Linked DNA regions of Schizosaccharomyces pombe. The protein of the gene in region 1 interacts with the protein of each later gene in a pairwise test. Each region holds a gene or a part of one and is shown on either strand. Other genes may lie near its edges.

Region 1 (5,475 bases):
ATTTAATCCTGACTTTTTTCCATGATTCTTATGCTTTTCACTGAAATCCTTGAATGCTAAATTATTAGATAAATAGAAACCAAAAGCTAACCTTTATTACTATTGTGTTCAATTTCATCAATAGTTGCATGAACTCCATACTTCTGAGCGACTTCGCTGTACACAATTGGAACAGGTTTACTTAAATGAAGGATTGTTCCAAAAGCATCGAACGTAACCAACTTGATCTTTTGGATATTTTTTGAGGGAATCATAATTCCAGGTTGTACTTTGATGGGACACACTACACAAAGCAATTTACATAAGGTACTCCTTACCACCAGTGCGTTGTTCGGTGTGATAAATAATATTTGCAAATCACTTTTATTGCGAGCGATTGCGTTCTACATATTAAATAATATACGAATAGATTAAAAGTTCATTAAAAATTTATCATGTTACAAGACGAGAGACACGCTACAGCAATAGTAGTCGTTAATTTACGTCGGATACCTTACTAGGCGAGACCAAAAAACAAATTTCAGTAAATAATGCCATAACAGATCAAAACCTGAAAAAATAGAAGTATGATAATACCAAATGTCTGTCATATAGAATCAGTCCCACAAATACAAGCAAAGAAAAAGCAAGTGAAGGTATAAGCTAGGTCACATAATGATTTAAAATCTTTCATCGATAGCTTCCACTAAATGCCATATTGTACCTGAAGGCAGGCGAAGCCATTTATCCGTCGAATCATCAGCAGTACGATCTTCAATGGAAGTTACCCTTCCTAACATCCAGTCGCGGCTTTCAAGTTTCAAATGCGGTTGAGTGTTCAAATAATAATGAGGAGCGTTAACATTAAAAGCCGCCCACACCTTTTTGTTACCGGCGGTACGTCGAGTAGGCAAAAACAAGACCAAGGATCCTTGTTTGAAATTCCTTAATGAGACTTTACTTTGAGAGTCCAAAATAGCTTTCAGCGCCTTGTCCCTGTTAGATTGAAATTCACGTTTCCAACGAAGTTCATGATTATGTGCTTGAGTCAAAACACTGACAACAAAGTTATGGAAAGAGTCAAAATCTAAAGAACTCATTCTGTTCAAAAATTCCTGGAAATTCCTATCAGCATCCTCCCCATCCATCCAATAAAGATACTGTAAATCTTTGGAATTAAATTCAATTTGGCGATCTGGAATCGATGCATGGCCATCTCTTTCGTTATCTGAATCAAATCCAGGCTGAGTAACGCATTCCCGAAGAACAGACTGTAACTCATTACACCGGAATACAATGGTATAAAGTTTCTGAGTTAATATCTTACATTGTTCTTTTCGATTCTCGGAAAGTTTGAGTAAATCAGCTTTCTCTGCAAGAGCATAATCTCTCTCTTCAATAATATGTTGTACTGCTTCGGCATCTTTTGCAAGAGTAGCGTATTCGCCCTTTTGCTTCAAACTCGTGAGTTGAAGCTTGAAAGCATTATAAAGTTCTTGCAAGCTATCAACTTTGCCCTCAAATACGGAGTAAAGGTTTAATATGTTCGGTTCATTAGAATGCATCTCCTCGTTTGATTGCTGTTCTGCAACTGCCGCTTCATTTTTCGTAAGCAGTTTCCGTGTTGATGAAAGTTCCTCCTGTAAATTTTCGTATTTTTGTAGCACTTCCTCATTTTCAGTTTCGAGGTATTGGATCTTTTCTTCCTTCCCTTGAAGCTCAATTAATAAGTCCTCATTTCTTTTATTTACCAAATCTAATTCGTTGCGTAATTGATTAACCTCATCTTGAAGTCGTAATATGTGGCTGTCGGTAAAAGAAGTTTTGCGATTAGTTAATTTACGAATTACGTTTAGAGGCACAATACTAGGGGAAACACGGTAAAATGGCTGAGAAGAATTAGACTGCTCATTGATGGGTGGATGTGGAGCATTTGGAGATAAACCATCATTGTTAATGTTATAATTAAAGCCGTTTTGATGGCTTAACATTGCCTCTAAATTATTGCAACGATTTTGATACATTGCCAATTTTTCATGTAATGAATTGTTCGCTTGAACCGTATTGGAAACGGCTTCTCGAGGACTTCCAGGAAAGCCCAAATATTCTGAGAGCCGATTGCTTAGCATTTGATGAAAAGTTTGGTAATTCGGATGTGCTTGAATATTGAGTAAATAATTAGAAATTTCGTCACGAGTTAAAACTGGTAAGTACTTTAGCTGGCCATGATTAAAAAGCAAATTAGAGAAATGACTGAGCCAAGACTTCCTAAGAGAAAGCTCCTTCTCCTGGTCTAAAGGAAGAGAACTATCATGGCTTACATTGTATGATTCCTGCCATTCAGTCCTCCTCAGTGCCTCCATTAAAATGTCGATATATAGCGAAAAAATGTTTCGAGACTGAGAAAGAACGAATTTGCTTCTGTCAAGCTCTTCTGCTATTTGTCGAAGATATTCGTACAATGCATCATATCTAAGAGAAACCTTATAAAAGGAAAGCCAAAAAGATTTCAAAGATATTAGTGATGACTTTCTAGAACTTTTTAATTCCGACAGATTACTTTGAAGTTTTTCCATGCAATCAGTAATTTCGGTTTCGTAATTACATTTTGGTTTGATTTGAGAAGTAGTTGAAGTTGACTCTATTTTAAGGATCTCTTGCAATATATTGGCTGCATCCTGAGCGACGGAACGTAGATGATAATAAGCATCATCTCCTTCCTTGATTGAAGGAACTTCCTTGAATGGGGAAACGATAATACTATTTGCGGCGCCAATGCACTGTTGGACTCGTTTTTGAGCTTCAGCATAACGAGCTGAAATGGAGTTTAACCAGGAGTCCAATTTAGTCCAATTTGTTGAAAGTATTTTAAGAGGAGTAATGGGTAAAGAACCAGTTGGTAGAGCGAGGAAATCATGAAGTAAATCAGACACAGATACTCGATCTAGTCTTTCGTAGAAAACGAAAAGTAAATCTTTCATACCAGATTGTCTTCTTTGTAAATAATTCATTGCAACTTCTGGAGAAACAATACTAGTAGAATACTCATCATGGCATACGCTTAATTGATTATGAATCTTTGAAGAAGACTCTAAAATATCAGATAATAATGAAAGACACTTGCTGATTTTATCTTTCCATTGATCTGAAGAAGAATCAGCTATAATCCCAGTAAGTACATTAGATATTGGTTGTCCTTTCAGAGAAGGAATAGAAGGAATTTTATCACCATCGTAGGTGAAAGTCAACAAGTTTTGATCTAGTACGTAAATAACCACATCACTTTCACTATTTAGTACGGTTTCATTCAAAGACATTCCGTTCGGCAATAATAGTTTTGCTTCATCACTAAGTCCAATATTGAGCTCCATAATCCAAGCTACAAGATTTTGGGGAGTCCATTGTACATTATCTATGGTCCAACTCTTTCCGGAGAATGAATCATTCAATCGAAAACGCATACTGACCTATTGTATTGCTTAACTTTATCATTCGCGATTCCCCAACATTAAACTTGAAATATTTGATCTAAAAGAAAACTCAATATCAGTTATTTATAATCCGTTGCATATAGTTATTCTCTGTCCTTATATTCCGTTTTGTTTGGTAAGTTGGCGGGTTCTATTTGGTTTAGGCGATTGTTGGGTACTAACTACCAAAAGGAGATTGGCATTGTATGAACACTGAGTTGAAGCTGTAAGACAATACAGCTTAAAATTTCAAATGTCTTTTCATTTAGCTTAAAAAAACAATTTTAATTATTGGTTTTATTATGTTTGTCTACTGAAATATATGTCATATGTAGCCGTATACCCTCAAGCTGGTGGGTTCGGAAACTCAGCCTTAACCAAGCATCTACACTGGGTGTGAACGAAAGTGTTGGGGATGCTAATTTACATTGCGGATTTCATATATTTAATTTAAAGATATCTTCTACTTGTTTACTTTTCATTCTTTTAGAATACAAGTATTCTAAACTCGGAAGTATTTTTCTTGTTTTTTTAACCGCGAATCTTTTGGTTACCGATTTCTCTGTCTTTTATCGATAAAGTTTTTAAAAAATTAAAAAAGTCAAAATTTCTCTACTGTAGGAAAAACTTTTGAGCATCTTTTAGCATATTTGGTACATTTTTTTCTGGCATTTGCATAGCTTGTCCTTTAAATCTTCATTTCTTTATTAGTGGTGATTGCACGGCTCATGTTAATTAATTTGGTTTTAATCTAGGGATTAATTATATTCTTTTTATTTGCATTTCACACTTATTCTTTTCTTTACATTTAGCTTCATTTCTGAAATTCTGAATGGGTGACTTTCAATCACGATATGAGATCCTTGCCGCTATTATGGGTCCTCCCAATACAGCCTCCTTTAAAGAGGAAGAGCATTCGGGTTCCCAAACAAAAAACTATCCTGTTGTGGTAAAATGTATTCAGGAACATGATCCCGTCGATACAACCAATGTGCTTGTAGCTGACGACCTTGATTCGAACTTTGAACCATTTTCGATTACAGATGATTATGGTAAATATGAAAACACTTTAGTAAGCCATTCCTCAACAATCTTAAATGAGCCTTACAACGAATCACCCTCATCATCATCTTCTGATTCCTCTTCTCGTTCTACCTCTCCTTTTTCTCAGTTGTCTTCTCAAAGCCTACGCCTTAATGCGGAGGAGATAGCGCCTTCTAGCTTAATAAATAAGGCCGTCCAATCTACCTTACGTCTTTCGGAGCCACTGGTTTCTCCAATAAAGTGTCCTTTATCCGAGCAATTCATCAATTTTATTAATCAGCAGGATTCTGATAAGGTAGTTCTTATAAGAGGGTTTTTATTACCACATTTGGCTTCTTTAACCACTAAAAACGTTTCCGAACCGGAATTGGATAAACTTAGGCATTCTTTGTATAACTGGTGGGTATCCATTCTTCGACGTTTACAATCTAATATTTCTACTTCAGAACGTATCACATATACAAAGGCCATACTTGCTATCGCCAAGCATCATTGTTGGAACAAAGTGGAACACTCTGCTTTATTGTACTTGGAACACCAATTAATACTTTACGATACATTGACATTTGTAGTTCATCTGCTTTCTCAAAAGTCCTTGCCGTATTCATTAACGACATTTTGTGCGAGTATCTTGGTTCTCTCCTTTTTTCAACTTCCACTTTTTGCCGACCATTTCTTGAGCGCATTAGATGTAAAGAAAAAGTACATTGATGCTTTGGGCTCATCCTTCGACGAAAAAATAATGATTATTTCACATAAGTATCTTGCGCCATTTTTTACTGACCAATTTTCCTCGACTATGCATCCGTATTACCCAAAACGAACTTCAACGCCTTTTACTATAGGTTACAATAGGCAGCCTATTGAATTCACACGAGCATGGATGCGTCGCTTTAAGTCTTCTACAGGTGGATTCTTTTTCGAGTTTTTATCATGCTATCATTCTTTTTTAGCTTTGCAATTCTCTTTCGAATTACCTGAT
Region 2 (5,339 bases), on another chromosome or scaffold:
ATCCCCCAATTTTTGTAAAAATTGTCGATGTATCCCTTAAAATTTTATTCAACTGGGACCTATCCAACATTTCTCTTAATCAAAAACTTTGCGGTTATGCACATCTTTACTCTTTTTCAAGTGTAAAGAGTGTTGTTCACTGGCTTCAGATTATAAAAAACTGTACTTTCCAGCTTTATGACGACGATATGGCTCTTCTAGCTGGATATGGTTCACGCCATTACCAAGTTCCTCTGTTTCCTACGAATAATATCAAATGCCCAATGCTGATACTATGGGGAGGTAAAGATACTTTGATCAATATGGAAGTAATGAGAACTGCTCTTCCTCCCCATGCAAAGGAAGTTTCGGTAAGCCTTTTATTTTATAGGTTTGTTGCTCAATATGCTAATATAAGTTAGATTGCTCATTATGAACATCTTGACTTTCTATGGGGCCAGGATGTTAAAGAGGAAGTGTTCCCAGTTGTAATAGATGCCCTTAAGCATCATTCATTAGGCAAAGCCAAACATTTCGTTAAACAAAACGGTTTTCATTAATGATTAATTAATAATTTAAAAAAAAAACTTCTATATAACGCTTAGATAGATATTTAGAACAACTTTAATTTTGTCAGACTATTTTCAACTTTCATAAACAGCATATCGAAGTGACTTCGAAGAACCATTGTTTCGAGAACGATGCCACGAAATAATGAACTGTTTACCACTTTCACTAGGCTGACTAAAAGCAACTTCTGCAGGCGATATAACGTAACCGTAAATGAATTTTTTTAAAGCATTGTCTAATAGTAAACTTGCTATCCCTTGTTTGCGTCTTGAAGCTGATACCCAAATCCTGGAAATACCCAATACAAACCCCTTTCGTAGATTTTCGTTTTTTATATATACTGCGGAAGAGGTGCTATTGTTGTTGTTGAGTTCAAGTTCATCGACTATGTATGCAGAAGATATACGCTCTGCCAGAAGTAATCCGACACATTTCTTATCTGATATGAATAGAAATGTGGTATATTTATCTACCCCAATTGTTTCAATAGGCTCACTTGAAAGTTCGTTATTTACGAAAGATAAAGCTTCCTCTGCTTTTCTTTGATCAATTAATGAGCTTTCTGAATTTATGCTGTATATGCAATCGGAACTCAAACCATAGTTAACGCGATAAATAGGAGAGCATTGAAAGGACACAGTAACACCTCCTAGAACCCGAGAATGAAACCTAGAATGAAGCAAAATATCTTCTTCGCTCGTTGAATTGTACTCCATAGAACATTCTGAACAAGTTACGGTGGAATTAGCCAAATCTAAGTGTAACTGGGTCATGTTGTCTGAGCTGTTGGAAATTGCTTTTGGCGTTTGCTTTTTCCAATTTGGTGTCAGATTTCCACCGTTTCCTAAAAATGCGTCCAAAAATGCTCTTTTGTTGTTTGTTTCATCGGATAAAGGTGCATAATGCTTGCTACCGGTTTTCCTTCCATATGTTTTAGGCTTTACTTGCTTAGGTTTATCATGGGATGGCGGTACTAAGTTATTATAGCGTTCTTTTCTCGAAATGGAGAGAGCTATATGATAATCTTCATGTTCATTTCTTTCGGATAAAGTAATTTTCTGTTCGCATTCTTCACACGTGTAAGTTTCATCAGCTGAATTCTCCGTTGGTTTAGAAACAGCGGTCTGTTGTAGCATATCAAAAATCCCTTTACCTTTACCTCTTTTCAACCTTTTAGGTGACTTTATATCTTTTTCCGAAGATAATTCAAAAGAATTATTTTCCCTCATATTTTCGTTCAATAATTTAGCGCGTCCCTCAATAGAAGGTGAAACAGAAGTAGACATGTAGATTTCATCATTGGACTTTTTTAAAAAACCCTCAATTCCCCTAGAATTACGATCAACCTCTATGATGTTTTGAAAGCTAATAGATAAGTTTGAAATCGGATATACATCGAATTCCTGTTGCAGTTGACGCAACAGTTTGGATGTTGCTTCAACAATAAACTGAGTGCTAATATCAACATTCATAGGTATTTGACTTGACCTTGACTTTCTCAGAAATCTTGATACAACAGTCAAACAAATGGTCTTGGGCCTTCTCATTCCTTCAAGTTCAAGGAATCGTGATCGAAGATCAGATGCGAATACTTGAAACCAGTTAATTGCATCTTCTTCAGACTTCACTTTTTGCTGAGAAAAATTTTTAGCCGACAACATTGATTTAATCTGAACTTGTGTAGTAATCTCAGTGTTATCAATTCCATGGCACAAATTCCAAACGAGTGGACCGTTAGTTTGACCAAGCTTATCTATCAAAAAGTCCATACTCATATTCCAAACATCCTTAATAGAATCTGTTCCTAATAAATTAATTATTTCTTCTCCAAATTTTCCGCCCAGCATTCTTATATCAGTAATCTTTAATGACACTAAATAATCTTGAATTGCATTTTTCGTTAAAATAGTTTGCTTGTTTGGTTTATTACGCGAGCTGACAAGCTTTGAAAGCATTGGGTTAAAAGAAACTCCTGCTGAGCACGTGTATTTGAGTTGCAAGTATATATCATCGCGAATTTCTTTCACGATTTTTGCAGCGTAAAATAAAAAAACATCATCCCAATCCCTTTCATAATCTTCTTTCGTTCTATCTACAACTTCTTCTTCAATGACCATTCCAAACTCAGCAGGCCATAGTAGCACTGGAGCCTGCGGCAAAGCAACATTTGAGTCCTCAGAGGGAATTTTCAAGTAAGGATATTCCTCCAACACAATCCGTTTAACATCACTCGTAAGTTCAATAAAACATTCGTCAATACTAGCCTTCTTAACCACAGGCGCATGTTTCTTTATGATGTTAAGAATCTTAACGCTTTCGTGCCGATAAGGATCTAAACAGGTTTTATAGTAGTTAGGATTTGGGTTTTCATGGTACTTAGCCTCTGACTCCCCAGCTTTCCAAGTTTTTACATGAGCGGTACAAAGCTCTGGACATTTCTTTTTTGCTTCAGTAACTGTTTCATGGCGTGAAATATTCGCTGCACGGGCTGCGTAGTTTACAGCAATAAGCCCTTGCCATTGTTGAACAGCAAGGGGAACTGAATGGTCTAATCCTAGGCGAACACTTTCGACTTGAGCGTAAAAAGCATCCTGATCAATATGAGCTACAACCCTTAACGGTGAATTTTGTGTACCTGCTTTATCACAATATTGCAAGTCCTTCCAAGAGAATTTGCTTTTGCCTAATTCCATTCAGTTCATACCCTCAAAAAAGTTCTTTAATAAGAATCGCTCAAGTTCTATAGCGCGTTCGTGTTGAATTTAGTGGACTAAGGTACTAGATATAGCAACGTTACCTACTACCAGATACTAAAGCAAAATAAATTCAAACTCTCATAATGTTGTAACCAAAATAAATCATCAAAGGAAATTAGATGTTAAACTTAAAAACTGAATTGAGAGAAAACATTCAGGAATTTTATTTAAGAGACTACTTTAATATGTAAACATATATATAAACACAATGAATATACTGCCGCCATGAAAGGTATTGTATATGATGAACAATTAAGATGAAATTGCTGTTAACAAAGCTGCAAAATATTCAAATGCTTCAATTTATTGCATATGATGCTACCTCATAGCAAATTAATCCTTCATTCATCATTTTCAAAATCTTCTCTTTTGGGCACCGACATATTTAACATGTCCGTATCACTAGTGGATTTCATAGATTGTTCGTAACTTTTTAGTTTATAGCTGTTGACTCTGGATCGTATCTTATTATCTAATTTCGACCTTATTGGGGAATTGAACACAGCCAGAGCTATCAATATATATATATGCACAATAAAATATAGCTCTTTCCAAACGTGTATTGATTCTTTTAGATTCAAAAGAAGGAAAGAGATAATTAGATAGGAGAGAGAGAGGTTTGTTGCTACCATACCAATAACATCATAGACTCGCTTAAAAGGCCCAGGAGTTTCCATATCTGGTTTAAGGAAAAATGGGCGAACATGGCGACGCGTGTATTTTGCAACTGTTTGGATAAAGGCTGCGGAAACAAAAGTCAAATAATATCCAGCAGAAACTCCATGCCACATTGCACTAACAGTGAATGTGCTTAGCGTACTTTTGAACCCTGGACGCTTTCCCTTCTTTGCAACTCTCAAATAAACGTAATTTCGAAGCCATTTATTGGTATTCATGTTCCAAGCCTCAAGAGCACATTTGATATTATCTGCGAATTCGAACTTAATAGGGTCAATATTCTTCACTCGATCCCAACGAGGATGCTTAGAAGAATCCAGGCCATTATAACCAATGCCTGACAATATACATGCACCGTCAGAAAGTTCCCATGCGCCATAATATTTCATTCTTGCAACAAAAGCAGTTATGCAAACGTATCCATATTTTAGCAAAATAGGGGAGGAAGCAAACTTAGGTGTAAGTAGAAACTTTAAAGGATAGATTGAGCTTCCGGTAATAAATAAAATCAGCCACAACAGACCTCGCCAGCAACGACCTAAGGCTGGTTCCAAACTGTGTGGTGTTATCTGTTTTTCATAAGGATCAGCCAAAGGCTTAAACATAGAAAGGGTTATAAACCTTTCGTAATCAACATAATCAAAAGCTGGACCAACAAGTAATGAGGGAAAGAAAAATACGTATCCAAGGAAATACAAGATATTAGGAATCTTTCTCAACGCGCGGTCTTTTTGATAAGAAGATAATTCACTTGAAGGAAGACGACCGTCGTAAACAGACCAGGCAAACGCTGTAAGCTTCATACATAGTACCATTTGTGAAGCAGTAATATCAGTATTTTCTGAAGGGTAAATGTACCGAATAACATGGCTGCTAAATGTATGGCCAAGGATTACTATAAATATGATCCATGGCATTCGTGACGATCGATAAAACGCGGCCACGAAATATGTGAACAAAGCGTCAAATAGCAAAACTAAAACGCCATCGTAAAGATGATGAACACCAATGAGATAAAATAAACCTATGCTTATTGAAAATAAGTTTCTAATCCATGGAGCCGAAGGAAGTCTTTTTAGTATGCCGGCAAACGGGTATGCTGAAAGAAAACAAAACAGTAACTTGAGCTGATCCGGGTGGACTCCAAGGAAAGAAGAGAAGTATTCAAATGGTATATCAATAAGATAAGCCATTGTTAATGTAGACAATACTGTCTCCTGCTTTGGGAATGCCTTTGAATTGAACAACTGATATTAAACACTCAACAATCGATTATTCTTTAATCACGAATGTACAGTGAAGATTGTACCCAGAGTTTGGTGTTGGTGAAGTTTTAGCTCATGAACACCAACAATT
Region 3 (7,142 bases), on another chromosome or scaffold:
GAAATTTTTTTAAATGCCGTTTCTGATAAACTGGTTAATACCGCAGTTTTATTTATTAATATTGAGCTGCTTTCTGAGTTTTATTACCAATTTCCACGTGAACTGGATCAGCGTCTCATCCATTCTTTGAGTTCTGAACAGTTGAATGCATTTGTCAATGAAAATCCTCGTCTCAAGTCACAGCTACAGTTGCAGCATAAGCGGCAATGTTTGGAATTGGCTCTGCAGAAGATCAATTCATTAGTTATCTTGGAACAGCAAGCCGATAGCGATTAAATAACGAGTAAAGTAGTCCGAGTTTAATGAATTTTTTTAACTAACTTTCCAAAAATGCTTGTATGTGTTACTATGTATAGCCTGGTAGTTTTCTCGTGAATAAAATTGTTTGTAAGCAGTACAGAATTGCGTTACAAATTTTTGATGCATATTGCAAATCTATGTTTATGAAAAGTGCACAACATTCAAATAACTACTTAAATTTTTGCAGTAACGTTACTGTTATTCAAATAATACATAGGCTTCGCTCATCAAATCTCCCTGATTGCATAAATCATTTTCGTAATAAGATTGGGTATTTTAAGAAACTCCCTTGATTCGAATTATAACAGTATATTACAGATACCACACAAATCTAATAAAACCCCGATTCATGCGTATCGCATTGCTAGACGAAGTAAACAAGATTCGAATTTAATACTATAAATATATATTGTCCAATCTTCTCATAACTCTTTAAATCGCCATTCTGCAAAAAGCTAAAGGTACATGATTTGCAAAAATAAAAACAGTACCCTGACATATGACAGAGTAACTAACTCATGATCTTCTTTAATTTTTTTCTCTTATAAATTCTATCTTGACCAATAAGGTCATCAAATAAATAAAGAATAAAGTGTGAACATGACTGGCAAACTCAAACCTTGCGATAAAACCATAAATAAAAACAAGGTAAAGGCGATTGCAAAAGAAAAGCTCACATAATGTTACAGAAGAACAATATAAATAATAACCGTATAAGAAAACCAAGGAGGATAGGAAAGTAAGCGTCATAATAAATTAATCTCACCCAGATTGCATAACAACAAAGAACAAAAGTCATCTTATACAAGCTGATGTGATATCAAGGAGATTGCTTAATAGTTGCACTTTTTTGAGCATTGGATTCATCATGCAAAAAGCAGCATCGCAATCCGTAAGGACAATAACCATACATCATGAAAGATCGGCAACGCTCGCTTTTGTATTTTGGGTGACGAGGAGGTTCTTTCAGTTCCTGGTTGCCATGCGCAAATTGACATTTAGAGCCATAACGGCAAGTTCCACTAATTTGCCAATTCTTGCAAGGCTCGGTCTTATATAATGCGCGCTTGCCGTTGGGAGCTACCCCATTACTACTGCCAGAACCATGAGGATGGCTAGCTGAACCCTTAGCTTGGCGAAAATCTCCTGCAGCTGATGGTTGAGGAACGAAAGGTTTGGAAGCCTCAGTAAGAGGACTATTACCCGAAGGTGAAAATTGCTTTGATAAATTGGAAGGAGCATTGCGAATTGAGGCATTCGATGCTGTAGGCTTGATGGGAATAACCCCCGCTGAATGCGATTGTCTAACTAACGACGGTTTAGCAACAGAGTTGCGGATGTTTGTCATTGATTTCGATTGAACGCACAGCTTAGGTTTTCTAGACATGGTAGATTCCGGTTGACCATGAACAAAAGGAAACGAAGTTTGAGAGTTCTCATCGACGGATACAGGGACGCCAGCCATGTTCAAAGACATGGCCAGTGATTTGGAATCATCGTGGAGATTGGCAAGGCCGGAAAAATCAAGACTACCACTACCAGTGCTACTACGAGAAGGAAGACTCTCCAAGGATGATATAGGTGAAGGATGATTGCTTGTGTTTCCATGAGGAGAACTACCAGAATGTAAATAGCTAGTAGCGTTGGAAGAAAGTAATGAAGGTGTCCATGCGTATCCCTGTGGGTTAGAAGAAGAATTGTGATGCCATGGCCAACCGTCCATTTCAGGAGAAACAGATAAACTTGAATCCAATGGACGAAGCTGGGGCATGACTGAAGAAGGGAAAACTTCATCAGAGGCGAGAAGACTAGATGTCTTTAAACTGCCCAAATTTGTAGATGGCTTGTGAAGTAAAGATGAGGAGTTGGCGTAGGAGTCAAGGAATGATGGACTTATTAAACTGGGTCCTGCATTAACAGACGTAGTAGACTGAGATAGTTTTGAGTTGACAAGGGGATCACTCTTATAATTGTAGGGGGGCCATTGGCGAAAAGCCAGAGGTACTTGAGGTCGAGACATAGGAGAATAAACCATGGTTAAAAGAATAAAAAACAGACACGCAATAAATTAATGAAGTTCACTAGAAAAAAGTGATACAATAGAAGATTAGTTATAAACGAACAAAGAAGTTGTAAAATGAATCAAAAAAAGGTTGCGCAGAATAACTTAAAAAATTCCAGTAAAAAACTTGTGTTAAATAGAATTATGGAATCAGGAACTTGAAAAAAACGTCAACCTTCAAAATAGAATTACAGGGTAATCACCGAAAGTAATATGCAGAAAAACGAGAGAAACGTAGAGTTAAAAAGAAAACACGCAAATTTAAGATGAAAATCAATAGTATAGAGACGCTGTTTTTTCAGAAGTCGAACAGAAAAGATACAAGAAAACGGAGAGAAACCACACAATGATATAAGGAAAGATTTTGAGAAGGAAGTAAAAGTATAGAAGACAAAAGTTTAATAGATGGATGTATTGTGTTTGTGACCCAAAGCAATCCTTTTCAAAAAACAGTCGTCAAACAAAGAAAAAATCCGAGTTGAATGCAAATTTTAGGGAATAAAATTTAAACCAAAAGAACAAAAACGCCTTTTTTTTCTCTGAAGTAAGTGAATACAACAGATGAACATAAAACACAAATCTCAAAACACAACAAAATGAGACTAATCGTAAATCCTTAATGTATAAAAAAACCTAATAAGGGAACGCTTTTAATATACGAAGCACAAAAAAAAGGGAATTTGCGGATATAAAGGGAAAACGTTAAAGTTAGTGCCAATGTGCAAGGTGAGCATCAAACAGGAGTTTTATCACTGATATAGGATAAAAGCGAGATTTGAAATGAAAAAAGAGTGAGAATTGATGAGGAGAGTAATCAGTAGAAAGAAATAAGAAATTGAAACAGAAAAAAAAATTTCAAAATCGAAAGATGGGGTGTTTTTTCAGCAAAAGATAATATCTTGTCCAAAGAAATATAGGGATTATCAACCAAACCGACTATTGCTGCAAAGATACAAAAGTGGGATGGAGAAAAGAACAGAGCCCAATTTAAAGTATTTTAAATAATTTCTCTTTTAGAGTACTTTAAAAACGTCGAAAGAAATGGCGAATCAAAAGAATAAATCAATATCAGATAAGGATTGCCACAAAAAGCTTTAAGGGGATATGCGAAAGTTTCAACAAATAAAACGCAAATATACTAAGATGTTAATATATCTGTTACGTTAAACAGTAATTGAGAGCGTTTAGGAGCTCTTTTGCTTCGATATCAGAAAAGAGAAATAAAATTGAAAAGAGAATGGTTTTCCAACAAAGAAAAAAACCCAGAGCTTGACTCAGAATGAAGAAGAGAAAACAAATCTAACAGAGACAAGAAAACCGGTTGAAAGGAATAGACTAAAACAAACAGCTACGAAAACAACTTTCAATCCGAGATAAATGTTTTGTCAACGTAAAACGGAATTTTTTCACACTGCAGAAAAAAAGTATTCAACGGAAAGAACAAACGGTATCTCAGGCAAGAAATTGAGAAATTGAGAAAAAGGATGAGATGCCGATATTCAAACAGTGATGAATTTGAAAAAAACAGACACACACACGGACACACAAAGAAAGATTCAGCAAAGTCAAAAGGCTTTCAACTATTCTGGAGGAAAGTGTTGTGGTGGTAAGTCGGTAAGTTAGAGGTCGATGGTAATAGAAGTTGGTTGAACGATTACGTTGTTGTTTCGTCCTGTCCTGTCTGGTCCCTGACCTGTTATGTTGATGCAGAGAAGAAGAAAAAGGGCGGCTAAAAGCAAATAACACAAACTAAGAATAACGAAATTCGCAACAGCTCGTAAAAGTGTCCGAAAAAGAAAAGACGGAAAATTCCGGTATATATAGAAAAGGATTAATCGGTGGAAAAAAAATGAAGGATTGATGGCTAGATGGAATACACAGTGCGTGTGTACGTTTTAAAAAAAACCCAAAAAAAATTGCAAAAGGAGAAAAGGGAAAGCTAAATTGTAAACGGGTAAGAAGGAAAGCAATATAGCACGCGATTGACAACCGTTCCAACAAGAAAAATTTTTCCAAAGAGAAAAAGCCGCGCACTAATCGTAATCGAGTTAGCCGTAGGAAATAAAAATAAATAAATCCCAAATAAGTAGGTGCTTGGTAATATAGAAAAGTGGTTCCCTCTAATGATGAAATAGTGCAATCAAGGAAGGAAACGTAGATATTAAAATGGAACAAACTTGCACGTGTTTTTGAAGGAAAGGAAGAATTCTAGTAATGTCAAGTCACTTAGCTTTGCTGTTGATACAACACAAGCCGATTAGCAAAATATTGTAGAAGAGAAGCAGAAAGTCGTGATAAGAGAAAAAGAGAAAATCGACAGAATAAAAGAAAATTGTCAAAAACCACAATTGTATACGATTAATCAATTTACAGCACGTAGCAGGTCCGGTCGAAAAGGAGGAGCAAGGCTAGGAAGCCAGCAGTTTCAATGTCGTGTCGGGCAAGAAGGAAGGAAAAGTGAGTAAAGTAAAGTAAAAGAGAGCACGACAATAGTGTAGTACACAGTATCCAAATATGCTAGGACGATAACAATAGTGTTTCGATACGCAACGACCCCGGTACAGAAATTGAGGTTATTTCAAGGTTACACGCAATCAATATATATATGGGACAACAAAAGAGATGAAATTTTTTTTTGTTTAAAACACAAAGAAACCAATTATCAATGTGTTAAGATTAGTTAATTGTGTTCGAGCATCAATGCCACTTTATACTACGTAAAGTCAACGACCTAGAAGATGTCGAAAGAGCAAGTTGATGGACTCAACAAGCCCTGTGCTTACAAGTTGTTTAAAAGTGGGGAATGTCGGTAAAATCAGTGGTATGTGCAAAAGACACTCAGTGCGGATGTTGTGGCGCAGTACACTACAGTGTTGAAATGGAAAGATGGCAAACGTGAGCAAGGACAGATGGAGGAGCTTTCAAAAAAAGAAAAATTTACAAAGTAAATTAGAAAGTCATAAAACAACTCCGAGAATAAAATTATCGGTAGAATTACAATAGGGAAAGGGGAAGCATTGCATAGAATGGCGGTGTATTGGTTCGAAAAGTGCGTGCTCTAAAGGAATGCGATTTAAAAAAAGTAGTACAGTATTAGTTGTTTTAGGTAAAGACGAGGGAATTGGAATAAATTTTTTTGATGCAGGCTATTTTTTAATTTATGAGCAGTTCTATATTCTATATGAAACAAAATGTATTGGTATTTTATTTTATTTTATTTTATTTTATTTTATTTTATTTTATTTTTACACATATTATCAAAAAGAATAGTTTTTCGTTTTTGAACAAATTTTTTTCTAATTTCCTTGGTGTAGATGCATGCATGGCAATAGCATGTTTGTTATCCCTTCTACACGCAATCTACTGTGGGCACAATCCCCAGTGTTTGTTTGGTAATTGTTCTTCCATTCATTGGAGAGTATTGGCGATAAATTGTAGCTGATTGGGATAATGAACGGAAGACACGTACTTACCATTGCTCAAAAGGCCCAGAAAGTTTACCTCCACACTGGGGCGTGTTCAAATCTACATTGTAAAGTAAGATAGCGGGATGGTCTTTGAGCACGATAGGATCCGGAAGCATGCATACGAAGCTGGAGTTCTCGACTGGACAGCTCATTTTTACTACAGACAAATGTGGTCATACGGAGGACTAATAAAAATTACGGAAGGCGTTGTTATGCATCGGCAATGCTTTTGCTTAGAGTAGCAGCGGGAGATGGAGATGGCAAAACGAGTTGCAAGAACCATCCATCAAAAAGACATAAACAAACGTAAAAAAGACAAGAGTAAGGATATCTAAATAAAAGTTGAAAAATGGAATAAATGAATAAAGTACAAATGAAATTGATGAATAATTTGAAATATAAAAGCTATTATTGACAGTATCTGAGTGATGATTGAATTTTGGCAAACACGACGGAGAATACGAATTACGGCATGATACAAAAGATAGTCTACCTAATTTTGGGTTTCAAAACTATTTTTGTTTAAAAAAAATTTTTATTAAATTATTTATTGATATTTTCTTTATTTTTTTTATTTTTTTTTATTTTGGCAAAGGGAGAACGAGGAGGGGTTAAGGGGTCGGTCAGGTGTTCAGCTAGGAGGAATTGCGCTATGTAAAAGAACAAAGGGAAGTTGATCTTGCTAGTAAAACAATATTAAAATATCAAATTATAATAACAATGATAATACTACTCAAATCGAGAAAACGGCCGATTCGCTTTCTTTAGCATGTTGCTTGGGTTACAGTGGGTCGAGGAAAAGCAAAGAATTGAAAGTACCCCATCCATCATACATACCCCTTTATTCTCGGTAAAATGATTTAACAGAAAACAGAAAAACAGAGATTTCTAGACCTAAGTGTCTTCATTTTAAACATATAGGCGTTGCTAGTGAAGCAAATCCATCGTATCATGATGAATTCATCAAAACCGGCAATCACAAATTGTCATTGTACGAAACACGTAAAACTGGTAAATTCATGCCACATGCGTATCGACCGAATGAACTGACTGATGATGGTGAAAACGTACACTCAATTCATATACGGAAGTTTAGTCAATAATGTGTTGTGTAACGGAATAATCTGTTATTTATTATACTGTAAGCTACGCAGTTTGGTATCTGATTTAAGGATACGTAGAACTGCGGTGAGTTTTCCTTGTGATCTATTATATTACAATACACAGGTTGTATAAGTAGCAACTGAGTATAGGTATTGTATTAACTGGGTTATAATGTTACCTATCACTAATATAGCTCATAACTGAACTGA

What was found.
Region 2: the proteins of atg11 (region 1) and eso1 interact in a two-hybrid assay, tested with the Schizosaccharomyces pombe proteins (2 studies listed by BioGRID).
Region 3: the proteins of atg11 (region 1) and zfs1 interact in a two-hybrid assay, tested with the Schizosaccharomyces pombe proteins (2 studies listed by BioGRID).

The regions. Positions count from the first base shown.
Region 1 is NC_003424.3:2,629,930-2,635,404, forward strand, and holds atg11 (autophagy associated protein kinase regulator Atg11), read right to left. Parts: upstream 3,623-5,475; 5' UTR 3,441-3,622; coding exon 660-3,440; 3' UTR 519-659; downstream 1-518. Other genes in the region: SPOM_SPAC7D4.05 (hydrolase), read right to left, coding at 1-56, 92-254; protein ahk1, read left to right, coding at 4,282-5,475. UniProt on the Schizosaccharomyces pombe protein: Involved in cytoplasm to vacuole transport (Cvt), pexophagy, mitophagy and nucleophagy. Recruits mitochondria for their selective degradation via autophagy (mitophagy) during starvation.
Region 2 is NC_003423.3:4,276,350-4,281,688, forward strand, and holds eso1 (mitotic cohesin N-acetyltransferase/DNA polymerase eta Eso1 fusion protein), read right to left. Parts: upstream 3,305-5,339; 5' UTR 3,243-3,304; coding exon 624-3,242; 3' UTR 540-623; downstream 1-539. Other genes in the region: SPOM_SPBC16A3.12C (triglyceride lipase-cholesterol esterase), read left to right, coding at 1-350, 402-539; ale1 (MBOAT family O-acyltransferase), read right to left, coding at 3,647-5,176. UniProt on the Schizosaccharomyces pombe protein: Probable acetyltransferase required for the establishment of sister chromatid cohesion and couple the processes of cohesion and DNA replication to ensure that only sister chromatids become paired together.
Region 3 is NC_003423.3:3,482,334-3,489,475, forward strand, and holds zfs1 (zinc finger protein), read right to left. Parts: upstream 5,114-7,142; 5' UTR 2,336-5,113; coding exon 1,121-2,335; 3' UTR 515-1,120; downstream 1-514. Other genes in the region: dynamin family GTPase Msp1, read left to right, coding at 1-276. UniProt on the Schizosaccharomyces pombe protein: Binds to specific AU-rich elements (ARE) in the 3'-untranslated region of target mRNAs and promotes their degradation. Binds to ARE present in the arz1 mRNA and stimulates the rate of arz1 mRNA decay.